Saccharomyces cerevisiae S288C: one gene and its partners. Changing the gene in region 2 together with the main gene of any one other region gives a genetic interaction. Each region holds a gene or a part of one and is shown on either strand. Other genes may lie near its edges.

Evidence for each region. Genes that interact genetically often act in the same process or in processes that back each other up.
Region 1: mutations in PDS5 (region 2) and ALR2 together harm fitness more than expected from each alone (negative genetic interaction), as found in Saccharomyces cerevisiae (one large-scale study listed by BioGRID).
Region 3: mutations in PDS5 (region 2) and MNT2 together harm fitness more than expected from each alone (negative genetic interaction), as found in Saccharomyces cerevisiae (one large-scale study listed by BioGRID).

What each region holds. Positions count from the first base shown.
Region 1 is NC_001138.5:32,695-37,702, forward strand, and holds ALR2 (putative Mg(2+) transporter ALR2), read right to left. Parts: upstream 3,155-5,008; coding exon 578-3,154; downstream 1-577. Other genes in the region: SWP82 (Swp82p), read left to right, coding at 4,109-5,008. UniProt on the Saccharomyces cerevisiae protein: Plasma membrane magnesium transporter.
Region 2 is NC_001145.3:415,344-421,992, forward strand, and holds PDS5 (sister chromatid cohesion factor PDS5), read right to left. Parts: upstream 4,687-6,649; coding exon 853-4,686; downstream 1-852. Other genes in the region: RCO1 (Rco1p), read left to right, coding at 1-693; YMR075C-A (uncharacterized protein), read right to left, coding at 345-710; ESCRT-III subunit protein VPS20, read right to left, coding at 6,141-6,649. UniProt on the Saccharomyces cerevisiae protein: Essential for the establishment and maintenance of sister chromatid cohesion at centromere proximal and distal regions during S phase. Also required for chromosomal condensation.
Region 3 is NC_001139.9:11,904-16,365, forward strand, and holds MNT2 (alpha-1,3-mannosyltransferase MNT2), read right to left. Parts: upstream 2,255-4,462; coding exon 578-2,254; downstream 1-577. Other genes in the region: alcohol dehydrogenase ADH4, read left to right, coding at 3,256-4,404. UniProt on the Saccharomyces cerevisiae protein: Mannosyltransferase involved in adding the 4th and 5th mannose residues of O-linked glycans.

The sequences.
Region 1 (5,008 bases), on a different chromosome or scaffold from region 2:
TACGCCTGTACTAATTTCCATTTTTGAGTTTAGGCGGTGCTTTCGTAAAAATGATATGATTATTCCGCTCATAAATGGTAGTCATGGTAAGGAAGATAAAAAAAGCGCAGTTCCACTGTCAGGCTTCGTTTATTTAACAATATAGATACATCATAAAAGTTTTTGGTAATGTTCTCTGGTTTTACTTCGTACTTCTGATCAGAAGTCTGTTATATCATGGTTCGGTACCAATTTTTTTTATACACCATTGTGATGATGTTAAAACTAAACGTATAAATTGGTCAATTATGTTGCTAGTAATGCAGCTCAAGCAAATTTATTTTATTGGCCTACATAAAGAAAACTAACTCTACAACTTTTACGGTATAAATATGCAATGTGATTTAAAAAATCACTGAAGTGTGTCAGAATATGAGAAACTTTAAGTGAAGCGTCATATTTTTGTGCCCTCATATCAAAAAAATGCTTTAAAAGCAGTCAACCAATGTGCCAAAAATTTTCAAAATTCAGGAACTTGTTGTTCGGCAGACTTTTATTCTGCCTGCTAAAGATCTGCCGACCTACCATAGCGGTCATGTTAATTGTAACGGCTATATCTACTGGGTAGACTGACAGTTGATTTCCTTCGAACGCCAACTCTCGCATTGCCATTTTTAGAATCATCGTTAAATCTTTTATCTCTTTTCGGTAAAAAACTAGATATGACTGATTTGGCCCCACTACCTGCGGCTTCGTTGAGCGTTGCAGGTGGGTCTATTTTTTTGATCCAATAGCTAGCTAAAAACCAGCTTATGACAGCTAGTAAAAGCAGTACCCCCAAAATTCCATACCACCACGCAATACTTCCATTTCTTCCTGGAACTTTTACATTCATACCGAACAGACCAGTAATAACATTTAATGGAACTAACATTGTACCTAACATAGTAACTTTACCCAACATTTCTGTAACTTTATTATTAGAGTTAAATGATTCCACTTGTAATTGGGCCAGGTAGTTTGCATGTGATCTAGAAAAAATCTTTTCGTACGCCAATAAATTTTGAAACATCGTCAACAAATGATCCTGAATATCACCTAAGTATAAAGCAATATCTCCCCTTGGTTGTGATGTTGTTTGCATATAGCTATTTGATAAGCTTATTTGGTTATTACTATTATTCTGGTTCACATTCTCTTGTTCCGCTTGTAAGTTCACCATGTTAGTTTGAGATTTAAGCACTGGCCCAATACCATTAGTTTCATCTTGACATCTTTTGGCGAACATTTTGATAACATCTGCTTTACCGCTCAAGAGTCTCATCAGCGTCATTGTCTTACGCCTACTTTCACCAATCCTTTGTAACATGGCTGCAAAATCCATATCACGGGTCATAAACACTGAATCATCAATCGAATCAGCTTCATACTCGATGGATTGAATAACCGGAGCAAAACTATCTGTGATATCATCGATTAAAGCATAACATAACCAATCTGAATTGACACTGACATAGTCACGTAATTGTCTTACACGTCTTCTTACATTGGCACAGTGTGATATTGGGTCAAAATGAAAAGTCAAGACACCTGACCTAAAAACAACGATGTAAACATTTATAGGTTCAAGATAATTCTCCGATTCTTTATCATTTTCAAATGTATGGAAACAGACAAAGTAATAGGATTTGAAAAGCTCTACCTTTTCACGCGTTTCTTGCATCCTGATATCTTCCGCGGTCAAAGGATGGATTCCAAATGTTTTTGCTATGCAACGCATTTCATCATCAGTTGGACAACTGCAATCCAACCACCACGTTGGATCGCCTCCCTTGAATAACTCATAAAACGTCTGTCCCTCGGATATCAAAGAAGGGATATCACTAGCATGCACAGTTTCATCAGATTCAGAGCGGAAGAACGAAAATCTACTAGGAATTTGATATTCTGTATTTTGGAGGGTATAATACGCCCGGCTATAACTCGAATCATTTCCTTCTTTTTCACCTTCAATCTTATTTCTACCAAATGTTACGTCAGGGTGTAGATCAGGTTTATCATCTTCCCTCACAGATTCATTGTTTTCAGATACGTACATCTCATTAACGCTGCAATTTTTTTCAAGAGTCCGTGAAATTTCAGGTGTATATTTCAGAGCTGCTGAGGATCCTGAAGTGGAAGCAGAGTTAGTAAATCCAGTATCTTGGTCGGTATGATTGTATGTTCGTTCACTGTGCCTTTGATGGTTCGCCAAAGACAGATTTCTTTCAGCATTTGAAATCTGGGCATATTCTTCCAACTCATCAAAATCAACACCATTAACTCTTGTATGTAATAGTCGAAACATTGGAAAACAAACGTCTTCTTCTGTTTCTTGAGAATCCCTGGATGCTTGCGATATCTCACTATGGAAAGATACCCTGCTATCCATACGTAACGGTTTAATTCTTCGTGTGTCATTTCCCATATCGGACTTTTGCGATGCAGTTCTTGTCAACAACGTTGTAGGATTGACTGATGAATGTGTCGATATTGTAGAATAGGTTCTTCTCTTAAGTTTCGCCTGTTTGGGATGCGTACCATGCTCTGATTCAGCCGATGTTTCAAAGATTGCGCTAACTAGCGAAGCCTTACGAGCGCTTGTAAAAGTTCTTGCCGAGGAGGAGGCTTCTAAGTTGCATCTGTTACTTGACGTACCGGCAGGTAACGCCGTATCATGGCCTCTCTCTAAAGCCGCATTCTTTGGCAAAGAGGGAGCGATGCTCTCTACATGAATCTGCTTTTGGTGAGTTTCAGACTTTGCTAGCCTGGATGGCCTCGCATTAGAACTTAAAAGCGCGAAAGATCTTAACTGGTAACGTTTCACTGCTTCTGCTTCTGCTTCACCTTCAAAATCCATGCGGCCACTTGTGGATATATTCGTTTTCTCCACATAGCCTCCATTTTCCACTCCACTATTCTCCCCGTTAGAGGAACTAAATTTGTGTCTAGAATCTTTCGTTTCGTCCACTTTCAATGCAAGCGCTTCGTGACGTATTGGTTGTGCATCAGAATACTGCCTATAGTTCTCTAATTTTGGGTACTTGCCTGTCTTCATGGAAGCCGCCGTATTGTCAACGGATTTTGACCTTGGTAAATCTGACGATGAATCAAATGAAGTGGATAAGGACGACATTACGAAGTTTTTTCACGTTTTCTCATAAAAATTCAGTACTTCTATAAAGGTGATTAAAATATATTCCTGTCGATTTTTTTATCCAACTGACAGTACATTTCCATGTAAGTAATTGTTTAGCAATAGTAGTCTCTACCGTCCTTGCTGAACATTGAATAGAGGAAATAAACGCTGTTGATTTTACCTTTCCACTTTTATAATATAAACCTCTACGTTAAAATATCATATGCTCGAGGAAAACCTGATTTCTCTGGAAGCAGCCACTTTCGTGAACAGCCAAACCAAATGCTGCATTTTTCGAAGAAAATTTTTATCTCAAGGAGTCGCTTTTGTAACTTATAGCCGGTCAGGCAGTAAAAACGTACCTGAAAGAATAGTTTGATAGTAGGATATGGACAACGGTTAGTTTTGTCTGTACTTCTTGTATACAGGGCCTCTGTCAAATGAATGTGCGTATAAATTAATGGAGGTCTTGCATAGTTTGTTGAAACTTGGAAGAACTGTCAACCTTCACATATATGATATCCACGGTCTAAGCACGAAGGGCACTTCTTGTTTCTCACATTTAGGCAACTACGATGTGGGAAGTACAGCTCAGTTACGGAATCTAGCACGTAGGAAGAATAAGCGATAAGTGTTCCCTTCAACACATCCATAAAGGAGTTTAGCAGCTGATATATTTGTCGTATCTAAAAAAATTTTCAGAGTATTATGACCTCGTCAAGTACAACGGAAATATATCCTGACATGGAAAGATTAGCCGTTCAGAAAGTGGCCCTGTGCATTAAATATAGTTGTAGTTTCAGCCGTCTATATTTTTTTTTCGAACCATCACTTTTCCCTTTCTGGACTTTTCTCAATGTAAAAACAAGAAAAACATGGAATGTATAATACTATAAATAAAAAAAGTAGGAAGAAGAACCAAAACAAAGGGCGTTTTAAAGAGAGACGAATATGCTTGGCGAAGATGAAGGGAATACCGTTCTTGAAAAGGGAAATAATCCTTCTGTAAAACAAGGAGAGGTTGGAGCTGTATTTATAGTACCCAAAATACTTATCAGAGAACATGAAAGAGTGATACTTAAGCAAATTCTGCAAATCCTGGATCAAGATGAATTGGTTCAACCTCCCTTAGACAAATTTCCCTACAAAAAATTAGAATTACCGAAATATATAGATGAACTTAAGACGAGAGACGCTACTAATACATCCTACAAGATGATACAATTGGATGCTTATGGTGAGAAAAAAGTGGGTTCGAACGGTGAATTATTTGGCGGTAGACATTATTTGTTCAACACCTTCACATTCACGGCTCATATGGGTGTTCTTCTGGTACTTTTACAAGATGTCATTAAAGTGTTATACCAAAGCAACGCAACGCATGACGAGGACGAGTTTATTGTCCAGCATGATCAAATTCTGGTAATGGAAACTTCTGAGGAACAAACAAAATTTTTGGCCAAAAATGGTGTCATTCCTGAAGAATCCAAAGGATCTTTTAAGTATATAACTGCCAGGTCAGCCTTTGTTGAATTCGGTGCTTCTGTTATTGCCGGTGGTCAACGCATCGTTGATGATTATTGGGAATCTTTAGCTAAAAAGCAAAATTTGTCGTCTCACCAAAGGGTTTTCAAATTATCAACAAATTTAATTTCTAAAATCTCACTTTTACGCCCCTCCTTCCAAAATAACAGGATTAGCAATGCCAATGAAATTAGTGCGAACACTAATAATACCTGTACGATTTCTACTTCAAAATTCGAATCACAGTATCCAATAGTCACGGAACAACCGTCAGCGGAGATTAGAGAAGCCTATATTGAAAACTTTGCCAAAGGTGAGCACATTTCG
Region 2 (6,649 bases):
GCTTCTTTCAAGAACTTAGGTTCAAAATGGAAATGTCCTCTACATTCCCCAACTAAAGTTTACAAAAAGATACACCATTGTCAAGAAGATAATAGCGTAAATTATAAGGTGTGGAAAAAACAACGATTGATAAACAAGAAAAACCAACTTTATTATGAACCTTTACAAAAAATAGGCTACCAAAATAACGGGAACATTCAAATCATACCAACAACTAGTCATACAGATTATGATTTCAATCAAGATTTCAAAATTACACAAATAGATGAAAATTCCATTAAATATGATTTTTTTGATAAAATTTACAAATCAAAAATGGTTCAAAAAAGAAAACTCTTTCAATTTCAAGAAAGTTTAATAGATAAGTTAGTATCAAATGGATCCCAAAATGGCAATAGCGAGGATAATATGGTCAAAGACATAGCCTCTTTAATATATTTCCAAGTTAGCAACAACGACAAGAGTAGTAACAATAAATCGGCTTCCAAAAGCAATAACTTAAGAAAATTATGGGATTTGAAAGAACTGACTAACGTAGTCGTGCCGAACGAACTAGATTCTATACAATTCAATGACTTTTCCAGCGATGAAATAAAGCATCTGTTATATTTAAAGAAGATTATCGAATCCAAACCAAAGGAAGAACTGTTAAAATTTTTAAACATAGAAAATCCCGAAAACCAATCCGAATAGAAACGGCGTACATACATAAAGAATAAATCAGGAACGTGAACACCTTCCTTACATATATACACACATACATAGGCATATGTATCGCATCTTAAAGTGAGAGATCTACCTATTTTCCTTTTTTTTCCATTTACAACATAGCAATTGATGTTTTTTTCCCTTCTAAGTCATCTCGATGTCATCATCTTCATCGTCTTTGTAGTCAACTTCTTTCCTGACCCTCAATTTCTTCATCACAATATTTTCGTGCCCTTTCTTGGTTTCATTTTTGTTAGACGGTGAATAACTGTCATCATCACTGTCTGATTCTCGATCCCCATCACCTTCTTCGTCGTCAGCCTGTGATCTCGCATGATGAACTTTCTTCTTTTTTTTTTGTGATTCATTGTTTTCGTGAGCTAATAACCTCTTTTGAAGCCTTTGTCTTTGAGTTTGTGACGTGTGAAGAATCCGTCCGATTTTAGCTTTTATATTGTTTTGTATTTTTTCAGTCAAGCTCTCTGGTATGTATGTTTTGAAAGATAACTGGGCCTCCTGAACCGTTGCAAAAGGTTTGAACAAATCTGATGGTAAGTTTAATTTACCTGGATATGCTGAATGTTGCCAATTTTTCTTCTCTTTTAAATTCAATAGAATCATTTGCGACAGCTCACCTATGATATACATTTTCTGACCGTAAGGTCTATGCTTCTTTGGCGCTTCTTCTTTTTGTGGTCCTTCTTCTTCATCAATTTCATCCTCAACTAACTTATCTTGATAGTTTTTTACCCTTTCTGATAAATAATAGAGCAAACTGAAGTTCTCTTGGGCGGCAATAGAGTCAAAGTAAAACAGCAAATAATCAATCGCTGTTGTTAAAGCATTTAGATATGCGTCTCCTTCGGAATCTAAACCTCCCACAATATCAGGGTGATGTGCAATCGCATGTATCAACCTAGGCAAAGCTCTTTCAAATATCGTCCCTTTTTTAAATGATTTTAAGCCAAATGTAAAGTTTATCCATATCTTCGTTGTGGTTTTCAGTTCGACATCTGGTTCATAAGCAGTAAAAAATACTAGTGGTAGGAACTTTATGGAAATCAGTTCATTAGCAACATAATCTTTCAGTTGTTCCAAAAATGTTTTTCTTACTGGCAGCGATTCATCTTCAACCAAATTAATTAATTTAATAATGTCCGAAGGTTTGATAAAGTTGTTCAAATTAGAAATCCTGGCCAGTTTTAAAACTTGAATTCCTGCCACACACCTCAATTTTGTTTGATAATTACTGGGGGTGGGATAAAACTCCTTGTTAAACTCGGAAATCAGCTCACCACCACTTGCAATCAAGTAAAAGAATAACTTCATAGTTTTTTCGGTGAAACTTTCTGCCAATTCATCTCGTGGAACATCCGGAGCAATTGATCTCAATTTGTTGGTGAACAGCTTTAAAGTAAACACCTTATTACCTATTGCAGAATATTTCGTGTCACTTAATAGAGAATCTTCTACCCAGTCAATTTCTTTTTTTGAATCACCAACGACCTGGTTTGATAATAGAACTTCTTTAATTAGGTATGATATGATATCAGTGGAATCATCATTTAGGACGTGAGGGAATTTTTTAAATATTTCCATGAGTACAATAATATGAGATGTAAAATACTTGTCTTTTTGCAAATCTAAAGGTAGGATACGTATTTTTATCTTTTTCAGAGTTTCTTCAGCTTTGGGCGATAAAGCGATAAGTTTTGTGGCGTATTTCGTTATTTCTGGTTTACTTTCAACTGCAAAATCGTATAATTTGGTGAAGAAAAACGTGTCGTCAAAATCCACTTGATCCTTTAATGTTTTGGAAGCCTTGTAAAGGGTTTTTAAAGCTTCTTCCAATGACAAGTTATCATTTTTTTCTGCATCTGGATCATCCAAATCCTTGATAATGGTTTTTAATGTTCTAATCTGATCTTTAAATAATGTGGGATTGACTTTCGATATATCATCCAAGATTCTTCTTTTCAAATCCAATTGTTTTGCGTCAGAATTATTAGATAGGTTCAATAAAACACTGATGTTGGATACATTATAAATTATTGGTGAGGCTCTAAAAAGCAAAATTTGTATTACCTTGGCGATATCACGTGGCATAATGGAAGCACCAGTAGATATATTATATTTTTTAAATAGTCCTGGCGTTTGTAACTTACTGACCAATTCATTGTAACAATTTTTAAAAGTAAGAAACGGAATATCGTTGGTGACACAGGCATTTAATAAATAAAAGATTCTTTCGTCGTTAAATTGTTTTATTGTTTCGAGGGCGTCGATTGCTTTCGTAGAGTCAGAAAGGCCAGAAGCTAACCACTGGAGAGTTTGGTTGTACTTGTTCATTACAATAGGACCTTGAGACGAGCTCATACTTTCTTGATTGTTCAAAAATTTACTAAAATCAATATATTTGGATATAGCGAAGGATATTTTGATTTGTCTTGCATTGAAAGCGAAAAATGAAGTGAATGCCTTCTTATCAAAATGTGACAAAACCGTTAGCAGTCTGTGGACTCTTTTATCGTTATCTGGTTCAAACGGTAGTAGGTATTCGAAAATTACGCTGTCGACTTGTTCATTGATGTTTAAATCATTGATATAATAGAGATTGTATAAAGTGGATGGTATGGTGTCTATGATTTCCCAAATTTCTTTATTTTGGTATGTCCTTTCGATCTCATTCAATGAATTTGAGTAAAACTTGGCCATAGTGTTAATGCAGAGTTCCCTAACCTCCTTATGTTTTTCTCGGGCCAAATGAAGTAAAGATGTATAAATGGCTTTATTGGTTATATTTTTCCAAATTTCAGTAACGGGAACTTTATTAAAAATCATAACAGAAGTCCTGCGTACACGAGGATCAGAATCAATAAAGGTTTTTGCCAGTGCCTGATTCAGTTCTTTGGATATGTCTTCTCTCGTGGCAATGATTTGAGGAATTGATTCTGTCCATTCTACTCTAACATCGGGACTAATATCAGCAATTTTGGAAATCCATGCCTTGAACGTATCGGAATGTGTAGAAACAAAATTTAAATCCGAATATGAGGTAAGTATTTGACCAATTAATTTTGTAGCTTCTTTTCTGAAAAGCTCGTTTTCCGAAGATAATTCGTGGTATATAAATCCGATTACTGCATTGATCAGTTCGGGTACTGTTTCCCAAAGTCTCAATACCAGTTTATGTAATTTCACTACCACAGTGAGAAGTCTTGAATTATTGTCATCATTAGTTGCTTCATGAATAATCTCGGAATAGTATTTAGTTAGATGTCTACTCATTCTATTGGAATAAGTATCACACAAAATTAGACTAACTTCGTAGCCACAGTCAGAAGTAACGTTCAAACCTTCAGGAATTTCATTCGGGTTATAGGTCAAAAACTTATTAAAAATTAATCTTAGTACTTCTAGGGGAACAGAATCGAACTCAGAGATGACTTCACCGAGAATACCGCCTATTACATTGAAGAGCCTTGCGGGGAAGCTCTTGTTAGGATCGTAAAAAATATGGAATAGTTCGATAAGTAAATTGTTTGAACTAGGTAAATCGGCTAATAATACGATTGATCTGTATTCTAGTAGCTTAGTGATCAAATAAGTTTGTTGGATGTGATAGCCGTTTTCTTGGTCACCTAATTGTTCAAATTGTGAGAGCACCAGCTTGAAAATGTCCGTTAGTTGAGCATCCGTATAAGGCGCATCTGGAGCATATAATCTCAGGATATCGCTTAGACAACAAGCGGTGAAAGCGCGGATCCCCACGTCTTTATGTTTTAATAATTTTCTGCTAACTAGTGCGTCCCTATATTTATCTAATCCCGTTAAATCTGTATTGTCTTGATCCAGAGAGGCTAATTCCTCATGTAAAGCTTTTAAACGATCTAATAGTTCATTTGTTGATATCAGCTGATCGGAGGTAGATATTATAGGTGAGTTAAACTTCAGTTTAGTAACAGCACCTTTAGCCATTTTGTTCGCACTTTATTTCTTGCTTCTTTACAAATATACCTGTAAAAATTGAGACCGGATACAAACTAACAAGGTGGATAAACTTCTTTTAGGTCTTTTTACAATTAACAACAATTTCGATGGAGCCTAGGTTTATAAACTTTCACTTGTTTATACAACTTTACGCGTCGCGTCGCGACATGTCTATAGATTAAGTCACTTTTAACGCCATCATTCCGGGTAGTGCATATTTTCCCTTGGCGGCTAAATAGATGAAAAGGTAAAAGTTTAATCTGAGAAAAAAACTGCATTGAGGAGTCTGAAAACTGAGGATAAAACAAACAGTCGCAGTTGAGTTGTTCTTTTTCATGGAAATTCTTACTATGTACTGCATTTAGGAGGGGAGTTCATCACACTATTATAAATTAAAATATACATCCTGCTTCTTACTAAATTATGTTTTTAACTATTCTTACTGCCGCAATTCCAAGAGGGTAGAGGGTAACTTCAGAGTCTTTACCTAAAAGGTGGGACGCCAGACGGGCGTTAAAAAACTTTCCGTAACGGCTGAGATAAAAATGATTTCGCCCAGGATCGAACTGGGGACGTTCTGCGTGTTAAGCAGATGCCATAACCGACTAGACCACGAAACCTGTTATTTGTGATGGTCTGGACCTATACTTATGGTTTTATGGACTAAACATTTTATGTAATCTTTTATAGAAGAACATTTCTTTTTTCAGGTCAACCGTACAGGAAACTTTCCTCTAATAATAGGATCTTTTTTAATGTAGCTCTCAATATATGGCCTAAATATCATGTCCTATTCTTTTTTTGAAATATCTCCGACATTTAACAAAATAGTATTATTTCATGGCATGACCATTGAAAATTGTGCAAGAACTTTAATTTAGGAAAGTTCATTGATTCAGGATAAATATATAAAGAAAAAGCCACTATCCCCAGAAATTTTGCTGTTGATGAAGGCTACGATGCTGTGAATTCAGATTATAGGAGAAATTCACCTCGAGGACTTGAAATCCACATTAAGGAATCGATATTTTTACACGATAATATTATAACTTTTTCCTCTATTTTGTTTTTCTTTTAATATATTGTCATTCATCATTTTATTTCAAGCAAAATTTAAAGGTTAACATAAATTAATAGTTGCCATAATTGGGACAGAAACTTCCATTACATCTCTAGACTTTTCTCAATCTTTATATCATCTTTTTATGTCGTATATGATAATCTTCTAGTAGTATGGAACAAGTCAAGAGATGATAGCTGATGCTTCATTTTAACAATAAAAATTCTAACGACTATTTATCACGTCTTGGCTTAGCTATAAAAGTACTATATAAACTTAGTATTTATTTTTGAAAATACTAAACAAATTCTATCAACGAAAAACCTGGAAGGAACCTATTTACATTCCCTTTATTTTTAATTTTGAAGCTACATACAGACATTCAGGATAGTAATGCTAAAGGTTCCTTAGTGTCTGATCTCTCCTCCGTCGCGAATTCCTCTCTTTCTTTTTGCTCGGTTTGTTCTCCTTGAGGCAATGATGGCAAACCTTCTGTTGATGGCATGTTAGCTACTTTTGCGTTATTCATCTTCTCTGGATTGAGTTCACTTTCTAGAGCATCCAATTCCTTATCTAGATCGTCTTCATAATTGCTTGTTCCGACTAAGCTTCTAGATAATGTCTCGTTAATTTCATTTTGATACGCAATTTGATCTTGTACATCGTCCATCAGTTCATCAACATTGCTAAATTCCTTGTTTAGTTTTTTCAAGATTTCATTTCCATTTTTCAGTCCATTAATAAATTGCTTTTCTACCATTTTGAACTCAAGTGTTGACACCATATTTTCCAAATTAATAAGCTGATCCGAAGCCTGCTGCAACAAATGCTCCTGATAATGAATTCTTTTTAGTAGAAATCGTACCTTCATGTTAGATTTATAATTTTCAG
Region 3 (4,462 bases), on a different chromosome or scaffold from region 2:
GATGCGTTATTTATTGTCGATTTATTACATATAATTCTTTATAATATAAAAGTGCAATACAGTGCATCTAGATATGGATTTTCAAAATTTTGCAGAATATGATCGGTTTGCCTACAAGATAAAAGTAAATTATTCACAATTTCCAACATTTAAAAGTGGCGATCGCATAGTAAAAGCGTTAAGAATGATGCTACATCCCACATGAGAGTGGTTCGATTATGCTGAATTTCAACACCAATTCAATATACTTTAATTTAAACAGACATTTATGATGCCAGAGACATAAAGGATCCGAAAGGTTTTAGGAACACCTTAGTGGAAAATCATTTTAGCGTGGCCGGGAGTACCAGATTTTTCATAGTTCCCTATTGCAATCAATTTGGATTTTTGCTGGCGTTGCATCATGGCTATGTTATCCAATGCATGCCAAGAGTGATTTACTTAAAGAGTAACTTCGTTACAAAACATTACGTTATACTTCAGTGCGATAATTTTTCAGATATCAAAAATTATACTACATTATACAACAAAAGCGTGTAGGTTTACCTATTGCTTATAAGACTAGAACAACTCTTGGTCAAATATCTTTATTCCATATGTCGACTATTTGTGAAAGCCGGAGCTTTTCGTCTTCTTTAAATTTGATCAACTTTCCAAACTCACCTTCCTTGAATAATGTGCAATAATTGAACAAAAAACACTCTCCTGAGTTAATCCATCCTGATATACTAGTATCTGGTATTATAATCCCTTCAAGTTTTACTGGTGATGCATAATATTCACGTAATTCATCTGCATTTTGGAACATATCATTTAGTCTCTGTCTATGCTCATAATCGTATTCCCATGAAGTTTTTTTACAAATATTAAGGCCCCCGTTTAGCCATAGCAAGGACCCGTCCCTGTCTGTATGAGATAGTTGCACAGAACAAATCTGGTAAAACTCACCGGTACTCTCTTTTGAAACTACATTGCCCAACTGACCAATGTTTGATGCATCCACAGGATGGAACGTAAAGCGATTGTTCGAAAGTAATTCGCCCAGCCAAAAAAAGTCCTTATCACCATGAAAATATTCTGCAATTGGAGAAAATTGTAAAGCTATTGAAGTAAGCATACTGAAGAGATGCTTTCCTTTATGCAATATTACCAGGCCGCTTTCCAAATGATGTTTATATTTCTTTATAAACATGTTTTCCAGAACCTGTGCAACCACTGGATCCTCTACTTGCTCATGTATCTTGGATTCATCCTCTAAATCAAGCCCAATACACCCATAGACAATTTCCCTTAGAATTTTTAATTCAGAGGATTCAAATAGATCATCTGATATTACCCGATCTTTAAAGAATAGAACTCCAGTCTTTTGAAATTCCTCTAATTCATAAAATTTTTCTATTGAAACAAAGGGCACTGTATCTGAGTCCATTAGAATAGGAATTTCAAAGGATGAGAAGGTCAATGCTAACCACTTGTTGGAATAGGTGGTAAATTTTTTCGAATATTTCGGGTTTAGCAGACTATGTACATTTAAAAACCATAATTCTTGAGCAGGATATTCAGCGGTGTCTAGACTTCTCGCATATTTGATAATAGATTTCATGGAATCTTGACTCAGATCTGCATTATGAACAATCTGTATAGGATAATCATTTTTGATGAACCTCAACACTTTCAATAAGCGTATGGTTTCATTCAACTGCACGTCAGAAGCACTAATAACTATGCCTTTCGAACCACTTTGAGTCACAGTGTGCAACCAATTCTCCCAAAAAGATAGCCCTGTATCGAAATTGATGGGCTTAGAACGAAGGAATTGATGGTTTTTGGGGTCAAATTCCAACATAGACGCATGGTAAACCTCGCCATTCCATCTCGTAGTTGTGTGCCAGAAGGCACTTTCATCAGTTTCTAATTTTTCAAAGTTAATATACGGAAAGAGCTTCTTTTCAATATCCCTCAAACGCTGAATATTATGCCCATCAACCTGCTGCAAGCAATTAAAAAAAATCTTAATCCTCGTAACCAGTTCAATCACATCTTTTGCAGGATTCGGGGTTATTTGATTTACGTCGTAGAAGTCATTCAACCACCCAGGCGTAAGACCTTCATAGTAACTCCAGCAGCCACCATTGCCACTGCTGCTACTTTGAACTGGTTCTACCAAATCTAACGAATTCAACTGAGAGTAATATACTACTAACACAATTCCCAGTAGTACAACTAATATAAACAGTCGATTTTTTCTTCTCATATTCGATAAATACTATTGGGGCTACTTTTGTCCTGTCACTGCGGATTTGCAAACACTCATGCGAATATTTTACTCAATTGAGAGATTTGCTGTCTCCCCCCACTTCGATGGTCCCCACCCCTAAAGTAAAGGAAAGAAGAATTAGCACTGTTTTAGTTCCAGGTACTTCTTTCTTTCTTTACCGGTATTGTGTGGCTCATCAAAACTTCGTCTCGGGAAAATGAAAAATGTAAACAAGAATTTCCGTTTCAAAGAGTTGCCTAAGGCCCACTAATAATGTACTTATTATTTACAATTCGGAGAACGCTGCTGATAGAAATCAATCAAGAAGTCCCTTAGTCTTTGTGTGTTTACGCCATATTGCTTAGTTTCGTAGTGCGTTACAGTTCTATCGTGTGAAAATTTTTTTCTAATGCATCAGCTGTTATGCGCACTACTTGAAAGGTTATCGAGCGTTTGTAAAAAGTAGAAGTACTTAAATGAACCTTCACGGTTAAGCAACCAGTATAATTGAGGCTGCTGATTTGAAATTGCGTTTTGTGTTCAGAAGGATCCCCGGAGGCCTTCAATGAGCTTCCATTTTATTTTCTCCAAGGAGGCCATTTTTTGTAGTGTGATGTTGACATGGTTATAACTGTTAGCAGTGTTTGTGATGATGGCTGTAGTATCACCGCAGTGGATTAGCTATGAAAAAAAAAAAAAAGAACTAGTTTTTAGTTCGCGCATCACGAGGTACGTGTTTAATATGTCAGATGCTTGGGATCACGTATGCCGTTAACTCTACAAAGCAATTGATATTTTGCTGCCTCAAATATCTCACACTACTAGGATATATTCTTTTATCAAACAGGAAAAAAGGGCAGCGTACCAACATGTATAAAAGGGTTATTAGCATTTCTGGTTTATTAAAGACTGGAGTCAAACGTTTTTCTTCTGTCTATTGCAAAACAACCATCAACAACAAGTTTACATTTGCAACAACTAATAGTCAAATAAGAAAAATGTCTTCCGTTACTGGGTTTTACATTCCACCAATCTCTTTCTTTGGTGAAGGTGCTTTAGAAGAAACCGCTGATTACATCAAAAACAAGGATTACAAAAAGGCTTTGATCGTTACTGATCCTGGTATTGCAGCTATTGGTCTCTCCGGTAGAGTCCAAAAGATGTTGGAAGAACGTGACTTAAACGTTGCTATCTATGACAAAACTCAACCAAACCCAAATATTGCCAATGTCACAGCTGGTTTGAAGGTTTTGAAGGAACAAAACTCTGAAATTGTTGTTTCCATTGGTGGTGGTTCTGCTCACGACAATGCTAAGGCCATTGCTTTATTGGCTACTAACGGTGGGGAAATCGGAGACTATGAAGGTGTCAATCAATCTAAGAAGGCTGCTTTACCACTATTTGCCATCAACACTACTGCTGGTACTGCTTCCGAAATGACCAGATTCACTATTATCTCTAATGAAGAAAAGAAAATCAAGATGGCTATCATTGACAACAACGTCACTCCAGCTGTTGCTGTCAACGATCCATCTACCATGTTTGGTTTGCCACCTGCTTTGACTGCTGCTACTGGTCTAGATGCTTTGACTCACTGTATCGAAGCTTATGTTTCCACCGCCTCTAACCCAATCACCGATGCCTGTGCTTTGAAGGGTATTGATTTGATCAATGAAAGCTTAGTCGCTGCATACAAAGACGGTAAAGACAAGAAGGCCAGAACTGACATGTGTTACGCTGAATACTTGGCAGGTATGGCTTTCAACAATGCTTCTCTAGGTTATGTTCATGCCCTTGCTCATCAACTTGGTGGTTTCTACCACTTGCCTCATGGTGTTTGTAACGCTGTCTTGTTGCCTCATGTTCAAGAGGCCAACATGCAATGTCCAAAGGCCAAGAAGAGATTAGGTGAAATTGCTTTGCATTTCGGTGCTTCTCAAGAAGATCCAGAAGAAACCATCAAGGCTTTGCACGTTTTAAACAGAACCATGAACATTCCAAGAAACTTGAAAGAATTAGGTGTTAAAACCGAAGATTTTGAAATTTTGGCTGAACACGCCATGCATGATGCCTGCCATTTGACTAACCCAGTTCAATTCACCAAAGAACAAGTGGTTGCCATTATCAAGAAAGCCTATGAATATTAAAAAAATCGAACGAACTCATAAACGTCAATTATGCGTGTGCCTTATTTATTTAGTTGTG